Caenorhabditis elegans: one gene and its partner. The protein of the gene in region 1 interacts with the protein of each later gene in a pairwise test. Each region holds a gene or a part of one and is shown on either strand. Other genes may lie near its edges.

Region 1 (9,849 bases):
CACGTGGCGTCAGAGTGTCCCATGCCGGTTTGATCCAGGGGTGGGCGGCAAACGATTTTTCCGGCAAATCGGCAAATCGGCAAATTGCCGGAATTGAAATTTCCGGCAAATCGGCAAACCGGCTAATTGGCGGAATTAAAAATTTCCCGCAAACCGGCAAATCGCTGGAATTGAAAATTTCCGGCAAACCGGCAAATCGGCAAATCGGCAAATTGCCGGAATTAAAAATTTCCGGCAAACCGGCAAATTGCCGATTTGCCGAAAATTTTCGGCAAATACGGTTTTGCACTTATTTTTCGAAACTTCAGAATTCCAATTTCAAATGACAAAACTGAACACATCCTATGAATTCTCTTACATCTATTTTGAAAAGCAAGCAAATTCTATGAAAATATGTAGAAAAAACGGGAAAAAATTCAAAAAAGCACAGTTTTCAGTGTTTCTGTCTTATAAAAAGTCCCTCTAAACATTTCCGGCAAATTAGATATCCGGCAAACGGCAAATCGGCAAATTGCCGAAAATAAAAATTTCCGGCAAATCGACAATTTGCCGGAATGGAAAATTTCTGGCAAATCGGCAAATTGCTGGAATTTAAATTTCCGGCAAACGGCAAACCGGCAATTTGCCGAAAATAAAAATTTCCGGCAAATCGACAATTTGCCGGAATGGAAAATTTCCGGCAAATCGGCAAATTGCTGGAATTTAAATTTCCGGCTAATCGGCAAATTGCTGGAATTTAAATTTCCGGAAAATCGACAAACCGACAATTTGCCGGAATTAAAAATTTCCGGCAAATCGGCAAACCGGCAATTTGTCGATTTGCCGAATTTGTCGACATATCAATTTGCCGAACGCCATTCGCCGCCCACCCCTGGTTTGATCTACGTTTGAGAAGTTTCGTGAGCGCCTTCTCTACTGTATAGCTAATTTCTGAAAAGTAATGGAAACGAGAATTTGTAGTTTTTTTTTTGAAAACTGACTTTTTCCGCGAATTCAAAGTTAGTTGATATTTTTATATTGTAAAAACCTTGGTGGGTCTCGCCACGATTTTTTTGTACATTTCTAAAATATAATTCCCATTTCCCAGGTCTTGCCACGATCACGGAATACCTTTTTAAAAAAGGTGTTTTTTTCAGATTTTCCAGAATCTTCCAGCTTCTCGAGACACGATGCCCCGCCCCTCTCAACTTTCGACTATTTTCACCTTCACCCCAAACTCTCCAACTTTTTCCTTATCCTTTCCCCTGTTACCAAAACCCCGCCCAGTTTCTCCTTCTTCTCTCAAACAGGTCGGTCTCTCTCTCTCTCTTGACATTCATTTCCTTTTGACCCTTTCACTCGATACCGCCATCGGCCAAACTTCTGAGAATCAACTTATTCAAATTTCGTTCCAGTATTCAGCTGCTCATGCACCATGTGCCACGCTGGATGTGCTCGTTAGTCATAATATCCTCCACAAAGCAAGGACTATGACTAGAGACACATTCAGCTTGGCGCCGAATGCATTTTATTTTTAAATTTTATCTTTAAAAGTTTCCCTAATTTCTACATTTTTCTTCAATATACAATTGATTCTTCTTATCTGACTACCAAATCATCTCGAGTCTCCAGTTCTCCCGGGGAGGCGATTCCATGTGTCTCTCTAAATCTCATTGTTCGCCTGAATGTCTAAAATGTTCGACCTCAAAAACGGTAGAGGCCCAAGGACACGCACACACAGTGTGTGATCGATAGGGGAATAGAAAACAGTAGGAACAAGACGTTGGATGCAACGAAGAAGGACACAGACCGTTTACGACTTGTCATCGTCATTTCTCAAGCGACACAAACGATGAAGACCTGCATATAGGTTGGAAGCTTTGGAAATATAGGCATTTTCATTGCAAGAAGACTCTTCTCAATAATTCTTGAGACTCACATAAATAGAAAAATAACTTTTAAAAACAGTGAAATTAGGTAGGGGTAAATAATTTAGGCATAAGGGCGATAATTATATTACAGCAGTTTCCCTCATGTAAAAATACAAACTTAATATACGGGATGATTTGGGGGAGGATGGGGATGGTTGAGATCGTTAAAACGATTTTAAAATGATTGGAAAGAAAATAAATTAGAAACACTTAAGGAAGGTGGGAAACAAATTAATTTAATCCGAGTCGGAGTCGACGACGCGTCCCCTCTTCTTCTTTGGCTGATCCGAATCGGATCCTGAATCCACGTCGTAAGTTGGTGGCGCCTTGCGAGCTCTTCCGCTGAAATAATTACATTTTTTAAAAATAATTTTCAAACTAACCTCTTCTCTCTTGGAGCCACAACGAAGCTTTCGTCGTCTTCATCATCGGAACCAGCGGCCTTCTTTCCGTTCTTCTTTGAAGCACCAAAGAAATCGGTCACCGCCTTCGACTTGGGCTCGGCCGTCTTCGGAGCAGCCTTCTTTGGAGACGGCTTTTTGCTGGTGGACGGCTTCTTCTCAGCTTCTTCATCACTGTCGCCGCCAGACAGATCGCTGAACTCGCTCTTTTTCTTCTTCGGAGCAGCTTTCTTCGCTGGAGCAGGCTTCTTTGCAGGAACTTCATCATCATCTGACAAATCGATAACTTCCGCTTTCGCAGCTCCTTTTCCAGTACGAGGTTTTGGCTTTGAGACGACATCCTCACGCTCCACACCGTCATCGTCCGAATCGAAATCGATTCCTTCCTGCAAAAAATATTTTAGAAGTTGAAGAAATTACAGAGGAAATCTTACATCGAACTCCACGTCACTTTCCTCTGACATGTCAGAGTTGAAGCCGTCGCTTTTCTCCTTCTTCGCAGTCTTCGGAGCAGCTGGAGACATGAACTTTTTAATGTCCTGGCCTTCCTTTTTCACCTTCTTTGGTTCTTTCGGCTCCTTTGGCTCTTTCTTGACGCGTTCCTTCTTTGGCTGAGACATCTTCTCATATTTGGCCTTGGTTGCAGCATCCAACATCGGCTCAATGCGCTGTCCATCTTTGGATGGAAGGACTTCCGTGCACACATTCTTCTTGGGTCCACGTCCGGTCTTTGCGTCGGCAGCAAGCTTTTTGGCGGCATTTTTGATGCTGGCATCTTGATCAGCTTTCTCGCGAGCCTCCTGTTTGTCCAACTCAGACACGAAGTTGTCCAGATCCTCATGCCAAAGATCTTGCCAGGTCTTCTTCTCGATAACTCGAACCTCAGCCATCTTCTCCTCCGATTCCTTGATGAGCTTATTCTTCTCTTCTTCCGAAAGCTTGATGAGAGCCATTCCGACAAGGTAATCGTAGTCTGATAGCTTGGTTTCAACGGCCTTCGCAGCAGAGGAAATGGCTTCGTCCTCTTCGACGGCGACAGCAGCTAGATCATCTTCGTCCAGCTCGATCTCTCCAGATTCACGAAGCTCTTTGAGTTTTTGCTCCTCCTTCCACTTCTTCACTGGATCAGCATCGAACTTCATCTTGATCAAAACATCGACAATCGCCGCCTTCTTCTTGTTCTCGAGAACAATCTCGTTGTTGATCTTGGCGAGGATGAAACGAGCCTGGTTAGTGAGACGCTTGCTCTGAGCCTGAAGAACTCCGAGAAGGTACTCCTTTCTCTGTACGTACTTCTCTTGGCGACTATCGTAGAACTCTTGAGTAATCGCTTCTGGCGAAGTGTATGTACGAAGACATCCGGCAGCATCGAAAAGTACCATGCACGTAGTGTTGATGACAGCTTGGAGCTTGAAGACTTGATGAAGATCCTGACCGCGCTCCAATTCACGAAGTTTTCCCGGCGAGAGCTTCACGACGAACTTGACAGTTGTATCTGTGTGATACTCTTTGTAGTCGACGATAACAGGCGATTTCTTGTCCGAGCTCTCCATCAATCCTTCCAAAACCTTCTCTTTGTAGTCTTGAGTCCACTGTTTGATTGGCAACTCGGTGATCTCAATGGTGTTGTCATCCAGCACAGCAACTTCACCATAGCATGCAAATCGACTCGGGTCGATTTGAATGATCTTTCCGCGGAAGTTCTTGTACCATGGAGCTAAGGCTTTCTGTGGCTCGCCGGCGATAAGACGCTTGATGTTCTTGACCAGTTCACGTGGATTGTAATTAGGAATGTTCGTGGACCATCCAGTACCGATGCCTTGAGCTCCATTGACGAGTACCATTGGAATAATCGGGCAATACCATTCTGGCTCAATACGCTGATTTTCTTCATAAAGGAAACGAAGGACATTGTCATCGTGAGCCGGGAAGAGTGTACGAGTGACTGGCGACAGTTGAGTGAAGATGTAACGAGCTGAAGCACTGTCCTTTCCACCTTGGAGACGAGTACCAAACTGTCCGATTGGAAGAAGCAGGTTGATGTTGTTGGAGCCAACGTAATCTTGAGCGAGATTCACAATTGTTCCCATAAGCGACTGTTCTCCGTGATGGTAAGCAGAAATTTCAGCGACAGCTCCAGCCAATTGAGCTACTTTGACTTCACGCTTGTCTGCTCTCTTGAAGCACGCGAAGAGAACCTTCCGCTGTCCTGGCTTGAAACCATCCACAAGGCATGGAATTGAACGCTCGTTGTCGAGATTCGAGAAGAGGACCAATTCACGATTGACGAAATCTTTGAAGGTGACGAATCGAGTGTCCTTGTTGTAGAGATATTCTTCAGCAAGTCCCTGCTGCTTTCGGTCCTTCTTCTCCCGCATCCACTTCGAGAGCCAGTCTTTTCTCTCTTCAATCTTCTTCTTCGAGAAAGCCATGTCGACAGCGTTATCATCATCAGCTCCATTGTACTTGAAGCGGATACGATGACGAACCATGTCCAAGAAGTATTCCTTAGCTTCCTTAGAAGTCGATGTACCCAATCCCTTGTAGTACTTGATCTTGTACGACTTCCAGTTATCCGTATTCATTCTCCACTCAGAATATTCTGGGAGCGAATAGAAGGAAACTTCTTCTTTTCCTTTGGTGGCTTTGACAATTGGAGTGATGAATTCTTCTACGAAGTTCCGCTGAATGAGAGAAGGCCAGAAGTGATGGATGAAATTGATCACGAGTCCTTTGATGTGTGAACCGTCTTGATCCTGATCAGCCATGACCATCAGTTTACCGTATCGAAGAGTCTTGAAGTCATCTTCTGTCTCGTACTTCTTCTTGTATTGGAGTCCCAGAATTTTGATCATGGCATTGACCTCAGCATTATCGGCGATTTGTTTCATATTTCCTTCTCGGACATTTAGCAATTTTCCTCGAAGTGGGAATACTCCATATTTGTCGCGTCCAACGACTGAAAGTCCCGAAACAGCAAGCGTTTTGGCCGAGTCTCCCTCCGTCAGAATTAATGTGCATTGTTGGGAATTTTTGGTTCCAGCGTCGTTGGCATCTTCAAGCTTTGGAATGCCCTGAAATAAATATTAATTAAAACAAGGCCACGAATTAGATGAATTGTTACCTTCAGCTTGGAAGTCTTCGTCTTGGAGCACTTTTTGTTGAGGTCGTCCATTTGTTTGAAGCGAACCCAACTCATAACAGCATCGGTGATTCCAACACTTGAAGCCGCTTTGGAGAACTTCTCGCTGAGGACGCAGGTCGATCCGAACTGCTTCTGCTGCAGGGTCATAGTCTCTTTCGTCTGGGAGTCGAATGTCGGATTTTCGATCAAGCAATTCACAAAAACCCACATGTGATTTTTGATCTGAAAATTTTGATATAAAATTGAATATTTGGAAAATTTATTAGATTTGAATTCGCATTAGCAATTCCTCGCCTCAGATTCGCCTTTTAGTAATCACAAATCATCGGAAAGTTTAAAAATGTTGCGCCGCGCCTTTAGACACTGGATAAAAACTTTCTCCAGCGTCACTAAAGCGTCGCAATTTTATTTTTCACTTGGTGCACCGATACTTCAAAAGAATCGGTGAAATCTCTAGAAAAACCTTGAAAATTTTCAGATTTCTCTTATTATCGAGTCACCAAAGAGTTCATATAGCTATTTTGAGTCATCATTGGCGGTAAATATTTTAAATTCGACGAAATTTACCTGGAATGGCTTGATATTCATCGACGTCTTTGTGAGCTTCCGCTTGATCGAGTCGATGAACTTGGCGACCATCTGATCAGCCACGTAGTCCACGTGCCGTCCTCCTTTTGTGGTAGCAATACTGTTGACAAATGACACTTGTTGGAAGCCTTTTTCCGAAAGAGCCAAGGCGACTTGCCAACGATCTCCAACTTGCTCGTATGCGATCTTGAGGGGTTCTCCTTCATTGTTGAACTGCGAAGTGTACATTTGGACGTAGTCCTCGAATCCTTTGATTGGAATTCGTTTTCCATTGAGGAACACGGCGACTCCTTTACTGGATCCAGCCACATCATACGCACGCCGAGCCATCAAATGGCAGATGTCATCGTCCAGCTCCTTCATCTTGAACTTTGCCAGATCCGGCGAGAATGTGATCTTCGTGAAGTCTTCGTCGGTGCTCTTAACAATCTTCGGCTCCTCATCACGCGTCATGTTTTTGATCCACGTTTGCTTGAATGCACTTTTGTAATCCCGTGAAGACGTCTCCAGAGTGAATTTTGTGGAGAAGATGTTGCAAAGCTTTGCTCCATATCCGTTGCGTCCTCCCGTCACTTTCTTCTCATCGTCATTGTAGTTAGAAGATGTTAGAAGAGTTCCAAAAATCAGCTCTGGGACGTAGACTTTCTCCACTTTGTGCTGAGTGACTGGGATTCCTTTGCCATTGTTGTAGACAGAGATCTCATTTTTCTCCCTGAAAGAAAGCAAAATTAAATTAAATTCCTTTATGCTACGGTCTAAACTTACTTATTGATGGTGATCTTGATTGTGTTCATCTTCGGATCTCTCTGTTTGTTGTCAGCGGCATTCACAAGAATTTCATCATAAATCTTGTAGAGTCCCGGCACGTATGAGATGTCACGCTGCTCCAGCTTGCTCTCCTCCATGTTGTAGACCCACATCGGCGTCTTCTCGGTATGCTCGACCGAACCGATGTAGGTGTCCGGGCGAAGAAGAATGTGCTCGAGTTGGGACTTCTTTTGGTAGATATCCTCGATCGCCATTTGTTTCGAGCCACCACCTTTTTTGTCGATCGACGTGAACACATTGCGGTCCTCTTCAGTCATAACCATCGACTCGTTGGCTGAAAAGAAGCAAATTAGATTCAAGAAACTCTACAAATTAACCAACCATCATCTTTCTTTTTCTTCGGTGACGCCTTCTCCTTCTTTGGTGCGGTTTTCTTCTTGGGTGAATCTTCGATAGAGAATTCACTATCAGAGTCGCTCATTGTTAGAGATCTGGAAAAAGATGACATTTAATTTTAGGACGATCGGGAGAAAGAGAGAAAGAAACGCGGTGAATATTCAATAAACTTGAGGATGCGAAGAAAAATGAGTGAAGAGAAAAAGAACTAGCACACCAGTGGACATCACTGGACACTGAACACTGAATCGATGCAAGACAGCCGGCTAGAGAGCGCACAAAAAAACAACTGAGCGCGCCAAAATGAGCGTCCGATTCGAAATTGGCGGCCTAAGAGCGTCGGGTCTCGCAGCGAACGCGCGAAAAATACACAGCTGAAACGAGTGTTACCGTAGTTGTAGCCTCGAAATACGAAATTTAGTTTTTGTGTCTGCGTCTCTTACGGAAATGCATTGCGAGATAGAAGTTGTGTAATTTTTTTGCGAAAAAATTCAAAAAAAGTAACTTTTTGTTCTAAATAATGTTTTATTTATTTTAGAGAGCTCAAAATGTGGATTGAGATTCGTAAATTTTACGAACTCATCGTCTCCTTCACAGCTTTCGATGACGACCGAAAAATAAACGAGCTGTTCAACGAAATCGAGAAATACAGATGGCGATTGAGCAATATTCTTTTGAATCCGGTATGTTTTCCGACTGATGTTAGTGTAATAAACCTTTCTAATTGAAGAGACGAACGGGTAAAGATCGGGAAAAGCTGAAGCCAGGAAATGTGGAAATGGCAGGAGTGGAAGTTGCGCTAGACGAGGAAATCTGTTCGGAAGCACTCATTTTGTCGGATATCTTTCAATTAAATGAGCTGGAAGCTGTGGATTTGATTTTGGCCGGAGAAGCTCAAAAAATACATTTCGAAGGCCTCAACAGAGGATTAATCGCTGTCGTTTGCTACTATGATGCGCACAGGCTCCTAATCGCAACAATGCGCCAAATGCTAAAATGGGACCGAGAGGATATTCCTCAACGTATCAGCAAGTTCCTCAATAGCACATTCATCAACGAGGACGTGATCAAAAACCTTTTTCGTGGGTTTTCAAAAAATTATATTATCATAAATATTACTAATTTTTTTTTCCAATTTTCAGAACAACTAATCAATTTCACCGTTCAATCAGAATTTGCACGACTTCAATCTCCAGATGTCAACGGTTTAGGAGGCTCTAAACATCAGAAATTGGTACCGAATTGATTATAATTTTGGAATTCTTTCATAAAATTAATTTCAGGTCAGAAATGCCATTGAGGAGATTCGAAGTGAAGTAATTGGTTGCATTTCGATGATCTGTGAGATTCCGGGAGGAAACGCAGTTTCGATTTCAAATCATTTATTCCAAATTGTAAAGGCAGTTCCACCGGAGAAGCTCAGTTGTAGTAGCTTGACAGCCTGGATTTCTCTCGTTAAAATCACATCGAGTGAAGTGTTGTCTCAAGGTAATATTTGAAGATGGAGTAGCGATTTTTCTGTTTTTCTTTTGTGGTTTTTCTGTATTCGAGAATATTTTCGATTTTCTAAAGCAATTCTCGCTACTCCATCTTCATGCCTATACCCAAAAATCCAGTTACAAATCTGTTTGAGAGTTTACAGTTCACGATGCTCAACAAGTGCTCACAAACATGATCGCCCACATTCGGAATGAAACAGACTGGTCGGATCAAGCAATGTGCGGAACTCTACAGCTAGCATGCGCTGTTGCTCTGAAATCGATTGCCTCATCGCCATCAGATCATCTAGGGATCGAGAATATCAAGGTGGACGTGGAAAGAGTCATCGATCGATCTATCCGGAATATGGCTTTTCATTACTTGCGACAAGCGATCATCAAGTCGGAACACTTCCGTTATGCCCATCAGTTTATGATTATTGATGAGCTTCTGAAACAGCTGATTTCATATTTCCCCGCGAAGCTTATGGAGACTGAAAGAAATTCTACAGACGAGCTGAACTTCCTGGATGATCAGAAAAAGGAACAATCAACGACTCAAAAACCGGATCCGAAAAGCCAAACAGTCCACATAACGGACAAAGTTACAGCTCAACTGAGCTCTACAGATCCATCGAACAACTATGATTCGGCTCTATCACAATATGAGAACTTCCTTCGATGCTTTGTGGATTTATACGAGATGCAAGTGACCGACTATGCACATCAGAAGAATGCGAGAACAGCACGCGAACGAGAGCTTCAGGAGCAAATCGAAGAGAACAGCATGGCTTTTAGTACGGAGAGATCGATTGAGCTCTGCCGGCTCCTGGAACGTGCTCGTCTTCCAAACCATCATGTTGTTCATTCAGTTGCTTATCTGGAAATGTGCGCTGCTGTATGCAAAAATGAGAACACAGCTGCTCTACTTTATGACATCTTCTCCAAAGAACATTGTGGACCAGATTCATATGGATGGGAATCTCTGGCTTCAGCACTCAAAGGCTACGATCGTTTGTACCGGGAGCAGAAGTATGCGTCGAATTCTCGTCACAATCAAAGTCAGACAATGAGTATGAGCACCAGCTTCCACCAACAACAAAGCCTCAATCTCACACTTCGTCCAGGCGACAAAATCACCATCCCAGCTCAAGAGCTCAGCG
Region 2 (6,308 bases), on another chromosome or scaffold:
GAGCTTTTTTAAATGCCAAATTGAGGTTCGCTTCCTAGCTAAAAACTCTAGCGCCGATCGGGATTTCAGTTTTAAATACGCAGAATAGTCAGAAAAATTTTGAATGTTTGAATTACCGCGCCATGGTTTTTATCAATTTAAACGCAATTGTTCCGTTTTTCCTCGAATTTCTTAGTGAAAAAGTCCAATTTTTCATATTTTTCGTGGTATTTCGGTATTTCGGCACTTATGTGCAGTACAGCCGGCATATTTTAGAGTGAAATCCCCATCGACGCGTATCACGAGACCACAAGATTCTGAAAATGCGTATCGCGCAAAATATCTCGTAGCGAAAACTACAGTACAGTAAATACAGTAAATTCTGTAGTGCCTGTGTCGATTTACGGGCTCTATTTTCGAAATCATATTTTTTTGATTTACCGATAGAATATTAAAATTAAGCAAAAATGCCACTATTTGAACAAAAATCCATTTCAAAACTCGAGCCCGTAAATCGACACTACAGTAGTCATTTAAAGAATGACTGTAGTTTTCGCTACGAGATATTTTGCGCGTCAAATATGTTGCGCAATACGCATTCTCAGAATTTTGTGTTCCCGTAATATTTTTTTTCGGATACTTTTAAAGTTTTTGGGTGGAGTGTTTCCGTAATACACTTTTAATCAACCGGGAGCAATTCCCAAACTCACCGACTGTTCACCTCCTTCGCTGGAAGAAGCCGTGCCGTGTCATCACTGAATTTGCACAGAAAATGAAGTTCCCCAGGTCCCTTGGTGAGCCCGACAATGCATTTTAACTGCTTGCCTTCCAGTGAGAATTTGTCATTTTGATTCGTTTCCTTCTTTTCATCTTTATCCTCTTCTGGATCCGCTTGATCTTCGGAAGGTTCGGGCTTCTGGCTGTGTCGTTTGCGAATTGGTTTCTCTCTCTGTAAAAATAAAATAAGTTTGTTGCAGAAAAATCGGATTTTATGACTTTGTAATTTTAACTCTAAAAAACCTAATTTTAGTTAAAATCTTCAAGTTTACCAGCTTTTCCGTGTGAAAATAGGAGAATAATCGAACAAAAATCTAATTTAAACAGTTGCAGCACGGAAAAGTGGGCAAAATCGAAGATTTTTCAAACAATTTTCACTATGAAATTCGCTTTTTAGGACCATTTCAAGTAAAATAAACTTTAAAAAATTCTTCAAAACCTTTGAAAATTCCCTCTCAAACTCGTCCAACATCTCGACGCACTGGAGATTCTCTCTCGGCTCCCAGCTAGAGTCAGACTCGGGGAATCCTTGCCACTGTATGAGAAATTCGTCTCTGCCGGCTTTTCCAGTTCGCTTGTCCAGCACTTTTTCCACCATGAACACGTTGTCCTTCTGGAAATCAGATTTTTGAATAAAATGTGACTTTTTTTTTCTTTGTCGGGGAACTTATACTGTCGCTTTGTTTCTAGCAAAATTGGATTTTTTATGCAAAAATAGATTTTTTGTTGCAAAATTGTTTTTTTAAAATATTTTTTTTAGTGCAAAAATTGATTTATTGTTTTTTTGCAAAATGGACTGTTTTTTGGTTTTTTTTCGTTGCAAAATTGTATTTTTTAGTTTTTTTTGTTGTAAAAATAGATTTTTTGGTTTTTTCGCCGTTCCATACCGGATCTTCGATTTTTGCTCGCTTTGTTGATTTGCTCGACATTTTTGAAATTGCTGAAATAAATTTGAGCTAAAATGGGAGAAATCTGAAAAAACATAGAAAAAATATGGAATAAAGATTCGAACAATATCTTGAAATTAAAAAAAGGCTCGAACAAGAAAAAAAATCATATTTAGTTTACTCACAGACAATCACCGTACAGAAATATTTAAAAAAAAAATAAAAATTATCAATCTTTTTCAGCATCATCATCATCACTCTCAGAGTCATTTTCTCCACCTTCAAGCCCTTCCACATCCTCCATCATAATCTCCTGTTCCTCATCGCTCTTCTCCTCGGCTTCTGGAACATTTGAGTCGTTTTCAGGCTCCTCGGGCTCATCTTCGTGATCATGATGATGGTGATCGTCGCATTCGTGTGGTTTTTCATCATCGTCACTATCTTTTTCTTCTTCCTGTTTCTCGGCTTCTTGCTTCTGTTGTTGCTTCTTCCGTTTCAGGTAGGTTAGGAGCTCTGAAAATTTAAAAATTAATTTTTTTTTGCCACATTTTTCGAGCTACTATCTTGTGAATTTCGCAAGTTTTGGATTAAAAGCGCGGTTTGTTGCATGTAAATTTACGAAGGATTTTGTACTTCACCCGGACAACTGTGAGTTATTGGCTGAAATTTACTTTTTTGAACTATTTTCGCTGATTCTCTTCCAACATTCCAAATTACCAAAGAAATGAGTTTTCCAAAAAGCAGAAAAAGAGGCGGAACGTAATTTTGCAACCAATTTTGCAACCATGCGGCACGGTTTTCCTTTTTCTTTTTTGGGGTTTTTCCATAAAAGTTTCGATTTTATTCCTTTTAATTCACATTAGATTGGGAGGATATTTCAAGCTAAATTGGTTGTAAAAATATGAACTATAATCGAAATGTTATGCGAATTAAATTTGATTTTTTTCTCGTAAAAAAAAATAAAACAGGAAGAATCGAAGTTTTTTGGAAAAAAAAACCAGAAAAAAAACCAAAAAAAAAAACAGTGGAAAATTGTCGAAAAATCGTGCCGCAGAGTTGCGAAATTAGGCTCCTCCTCTCTTTCTAGTTATAATGTCTTATTATTGTCCAAAAAATGTGAAAAAAGATTCACGCTTGTCCACGTGCAGTATCCTCCGTAACATGTAAGTATCAAACTGCGCCGAAAAACCTTCCAAAACTTGCGAAAATCACGAATTAATCGTTCTATTTCAAACCTTTTGCGGTATTCATAATATTCTCAGTATTCTGCTGACATATTGGGCATTTTGACGACTTTTGGAACGATTTCAACGCACAACCGGTGCAAAAGTAGTGCTTGCATTTTGTCACGATCGGATCAACAAATGGATTTCCGCAAATAAAACAATCCTCCGGAAACGTATCGTCGCCTTCATGAATCTCGTAATTCGCATCGTCTTCAGCACCATATTTTCCTGCTTCGTACTCCTCATCAATCTCCCATCCGTGTTTATAGTCCGATCGGTCGTGCACAAATTTACACGAATCTCCAAACGTACAGAATCCAGTCTCCTTGTAATCCTTGCAAATATCCGGTGCAAAATCCCAACGGACTGTTTGTCGTAGAAATTGTGGCGCCCGAACGGGCCCAACTCGATTATAACCACTTGCAGCGTTTCCCTTGGCCGTATCCTTCGCCTCTTTGGCTCCATACAGTGCACTTCCCTTGTACAGAATTTTTCCGTCTTTCTCGACGCCTTCCTTCAGTTGCTGTTGGACTCGTTCGAATTGAGCCTGGGCATCGTGTGAATAGTCTGTGTCCACTTCGAGTGTTGCAGTGGCACCTTGATCACGTGGTCCAGATGGACCGGCATCTCCTGAAGCGGCGAACGAGTGAGTTGCTACTGCGATATCCTGATTGTCGTCAGAGTCGTCAGAATCATCCGATGAATTATCAGCACGTCGTGTTGAGGCGTCTAGTTGTTTGGTCTGAATTTCAAAGTTTATTGGGATTTTCCAAAATTTTGGAGCACTAAAGTACCAAGATCTCACCGACTGGACCATCGGATTCGTACGACGTCGCTTTTGAATCACATCCTTCACTTCTGAATCTTGATCCTCATCACTTGAGCTTTCCTTTTTACGAACGACGGGTGCATTGCGCTTTTTCGGTTTTCGGAAGAGATCCATTATCTGAAAAATTAAAACTATTTATTAAATTCAATTAATTAATAAAGCTTCAAATCTGACAAACGAGAAATACAATAAAACGGTTCAACATTATGAGAGGAAGATGAATCAAACAATAGAGCTCTACAGCCGAAATTTTTGGCGCCATGGAAATCATTTTTCAAATTGTCTCCAATGTGCAAGATTTCCGAGGGAGAAATTAGATCGAAATGGTTGACAACTAGCTGGAAGATCTTCTCATCGGGCTTTTCGTACCCAATTTCGCCGGAGAGAACTGTCATGGAGAAAAGATCGAGTAAATTGAATTGAGAAAGTAGAGATTTCAAGCGACTATCGAAATTGGAGATGACAACCAGGATGATTCCTTTCAGGCGAAGTTTTTGCAGAGTTTGGCGCGTCTAAAATGAAAAATTGCAGTATTTTTTTTTCAACAATTCACAAAATTTACATCGCTTTCAACTAGTTTCCACGGCTCAGGAGTTGCATAGTGATTGTACAAAGCTCCAGCGATCACTTCAACCCGTCCTTTTTCAGAATCCGGAGCACACTGAAACTATCAAGTAGGGGACTTGCCTAATTCAGATTACACCTACATCCAAAAGCGTAGAAGAAACTACTTCAATCCACCAACTTTTGTTTCCAATTCCATTGAACCCAAAGCAGGGCGATGCGATGCTCATTCGTTTATAATTTTTAAGAAAGCTTCCCATGATTTGATCGGAGTCGACTTCCAAATCATATTGCCTCGCGAAACGGGAATAAACTATCGGTGGAGACTCTTTCATCGTGATTAGTGTATCACGAGCATCTAGGGAGAGAACTTTCACGACTGGAGGGGTGGAAAGGTTACGAGAAGTTGTACGGAGCAGGTTGGAGAGCATTGAGCTAAATATGGAAATCTAGAGTTTTTTTTAGATTTCCAAAGAAAAGGTTAGTGTGTTGATTGAAAATTTTCCTCCAAATTGGCCGAAAACAATATTTTAACGACGGAAATACTGCATTTTAACTATTTAAATGACGATTTCGTAGAAAATAATATTGGAAGTATCGGAAATCGATTTTTCGAATTCAAACATCAGGAATTTTTGAGAAGTTTTTCGAGATGCATAGGGATAACACTAGGCTTCTTAAAAGAAAAAAGGTTTTTGCATCCGAATTTCAGAGATATTTCTGTAGAAAAAAAAGAGTTCAATTTACTGTTCAAACTCTCCAAATAACGATTTCTCAGCCAAAATCAATTAATTTCCAACACCTGATTTTGAACAGAATAACAATTTTTGAACAATTTAAAAGAAATCTTATCACAAAATTCGTTCATTTTGGCTTGCTTCGAGTATTTAGAAGGAAAAACTAGAGATTTCCTTGACTCCACTTGTTTCATCGATTAGGAATACTTTATCTAAAGATATTTTTTATATTTAAACCTATTTCTTTATTTAAAATCCAAAATCGCAAGAAATCCCTCATAAATTCGTCAAAAACAAAAATAAACTAAAAAAACACTTTTAAAAAATCGATAAAATTCGAAAGACCCGCGTGCGGCACGGAAAAAGTGGGCGGAGTGCGCCGAACGCAAACCACTCGCACACTTCTCATACACTCCGCCACAACACGCTCCACCGGAGTGTGTGACACAGCGCGCCAACTTGAAAATGGCCGAGAGAGTGTCTCGTGCTCAGGTCATGCGCGGCCTAGTTTTACCATGTGATTTTGACGCCAATTCAAATGATCACATTTCCTCGTGCTTTGCAGCGCTCCTTCTCCTCGTCCAAACCCGTCGAACTCGTGCTTTTCTCATCGCAAAACTGCTCGCTGTGCGTACATTTTCACAGACAACTCAAAAACTATCTTAAAAAGCATCCCGGGATTGTTGTCGTCGAGAAAAATCTCGCCCAAGAATCGCCAGAGCTAATTGAAGTGAGACTTTCTTCTACGTCTACGTTTTTTTTGTTTTGTATTCTATTTTCTCATTTAATAAAAATATAAATACAGAAAATTTAAAAATAGGTAGTTTAAATTCCTAATTTTCAGAAATTCAAATACGACATTCCCGTCCTGGTGGCCGGAGATAATAAAATCCTTCTGAAACATCGATTCAGTGGAGTTCTACTCGAAGAAAACCTCAAAAAATGAGCAACTGCGAGATAATCGCGGTGCACGGAGGTTTGCGCACACTAATTATCGATTTTTTGCGGCAAAATTTAAATCTTGCAGGTGCGTGTGCTAAATTCGACGCAAGTCTTGCCGAGGACTGCCGTTTTGCGTGTGGTACAGGCACTGTTGAGAATGCGTTGACGGTGAGGAATTCTTTTTTGGTTTTCTCACGAAATATATTTAATTTTTTTTGCAGGATCTTGAAAGAATAGAAAAGTTCAACTGTGGATTCGGCTCACATTTGACTATCGATCAAGAAGTTGAATGTGAAGCATCATATATGTCATCCAAAAATTTAAGGTTTCCCTAAAAACCATACATTTCTCCCTTACCGATTATTTT

The links. The genes of interacting proteins can lie anywhere in the genome.
Region 2: the proteins of top-2 (region 1) and rnf-113 interact in a two-hybrid assay, tested with the Caenorhabditis elegans proteins (one large-scale study listed by BioGRID).

The regions. Positions count from the first base shown.
Region 1 is NC_003280.10:11,872,601-11,882,449, reverse strand, and holds top-2 (DNA topoisomerase 2 top-2), read right to left. Parts: upstream 7,303-9,849; 5' UTR 7,294-7,302; coding exon 7,194-7,293; intron 7,147-7,193; coding exon 6,810-7,146; intron 6,757-6,809; coding exon 6,024-6,756; intron 5,991-6,023; exon of another isoform or gene 5,896-5,990; intron 5,895-5,895; exon of another isoform or gene 5,834-5,894; intron 5,820-5,833; exon of another isoform or gene 5,748-5,819; intron 5,679-5,747; coding exon 5,436-5,678; intron 5,386-5,435; coding exon 2,746-5,385; intron 2,698-2,745; coding exon 2,294-2,697; intron 2,253-2,293; coding exon 2,147-2,252; 3' UTR 1,862-2,146; downstream 1-1,861. Other genes in the region: npp-3 (Nuclear Pore complex Protein), read left to right, coding at 7,757-7,891, 7,939-8,290, 8,351-8,442, 8,492-8,696, 8,851-9,849. UniProt on the Caenorhabditis elegans protein: Control of topological states of DNA by transient breakage and subsequent rejoining of DNA strands. Topoisomerase II makes double-strand breaks.
Region 2 is NC_003281.10:10,753,826-10,760,133, forward strand, and holds rnf-113 (putative E3 ubiquitin-protein ligase rnf113), read right to left. Parts: upstream 3,816-6,308; 5' UTR 3,813-3,815; coding exon 3,675-3,812; intron 3,612-3,674; coding exon 2,879-3,611; intron 2,157-2,878; coding exon 1,873-2,156; 3' UTR 1,799-1,872; downstream 1-1,798. Other genes in the region: Chromobox protein homolog hpl-2, read right to left, coding at 690-928, 1,196-1,369, 1,644-1,685; K01G5.10 (Haloacid dehalogenase-like hydrolase domain-containing protein 3), read right to left, coding at 3,851-4,210, 4,261-4,359, 4,406-4,693; tasp-1 (TASPase homolog), read left to right, coding at 5,942-5,975, 6,027-6,109, 6,163-6,266. UniProt on the Caenorhabditis elegans protein: May function as E3 ubiquitin-protein ligase that catalyzes the transfer of ubiquitin onto target proteins.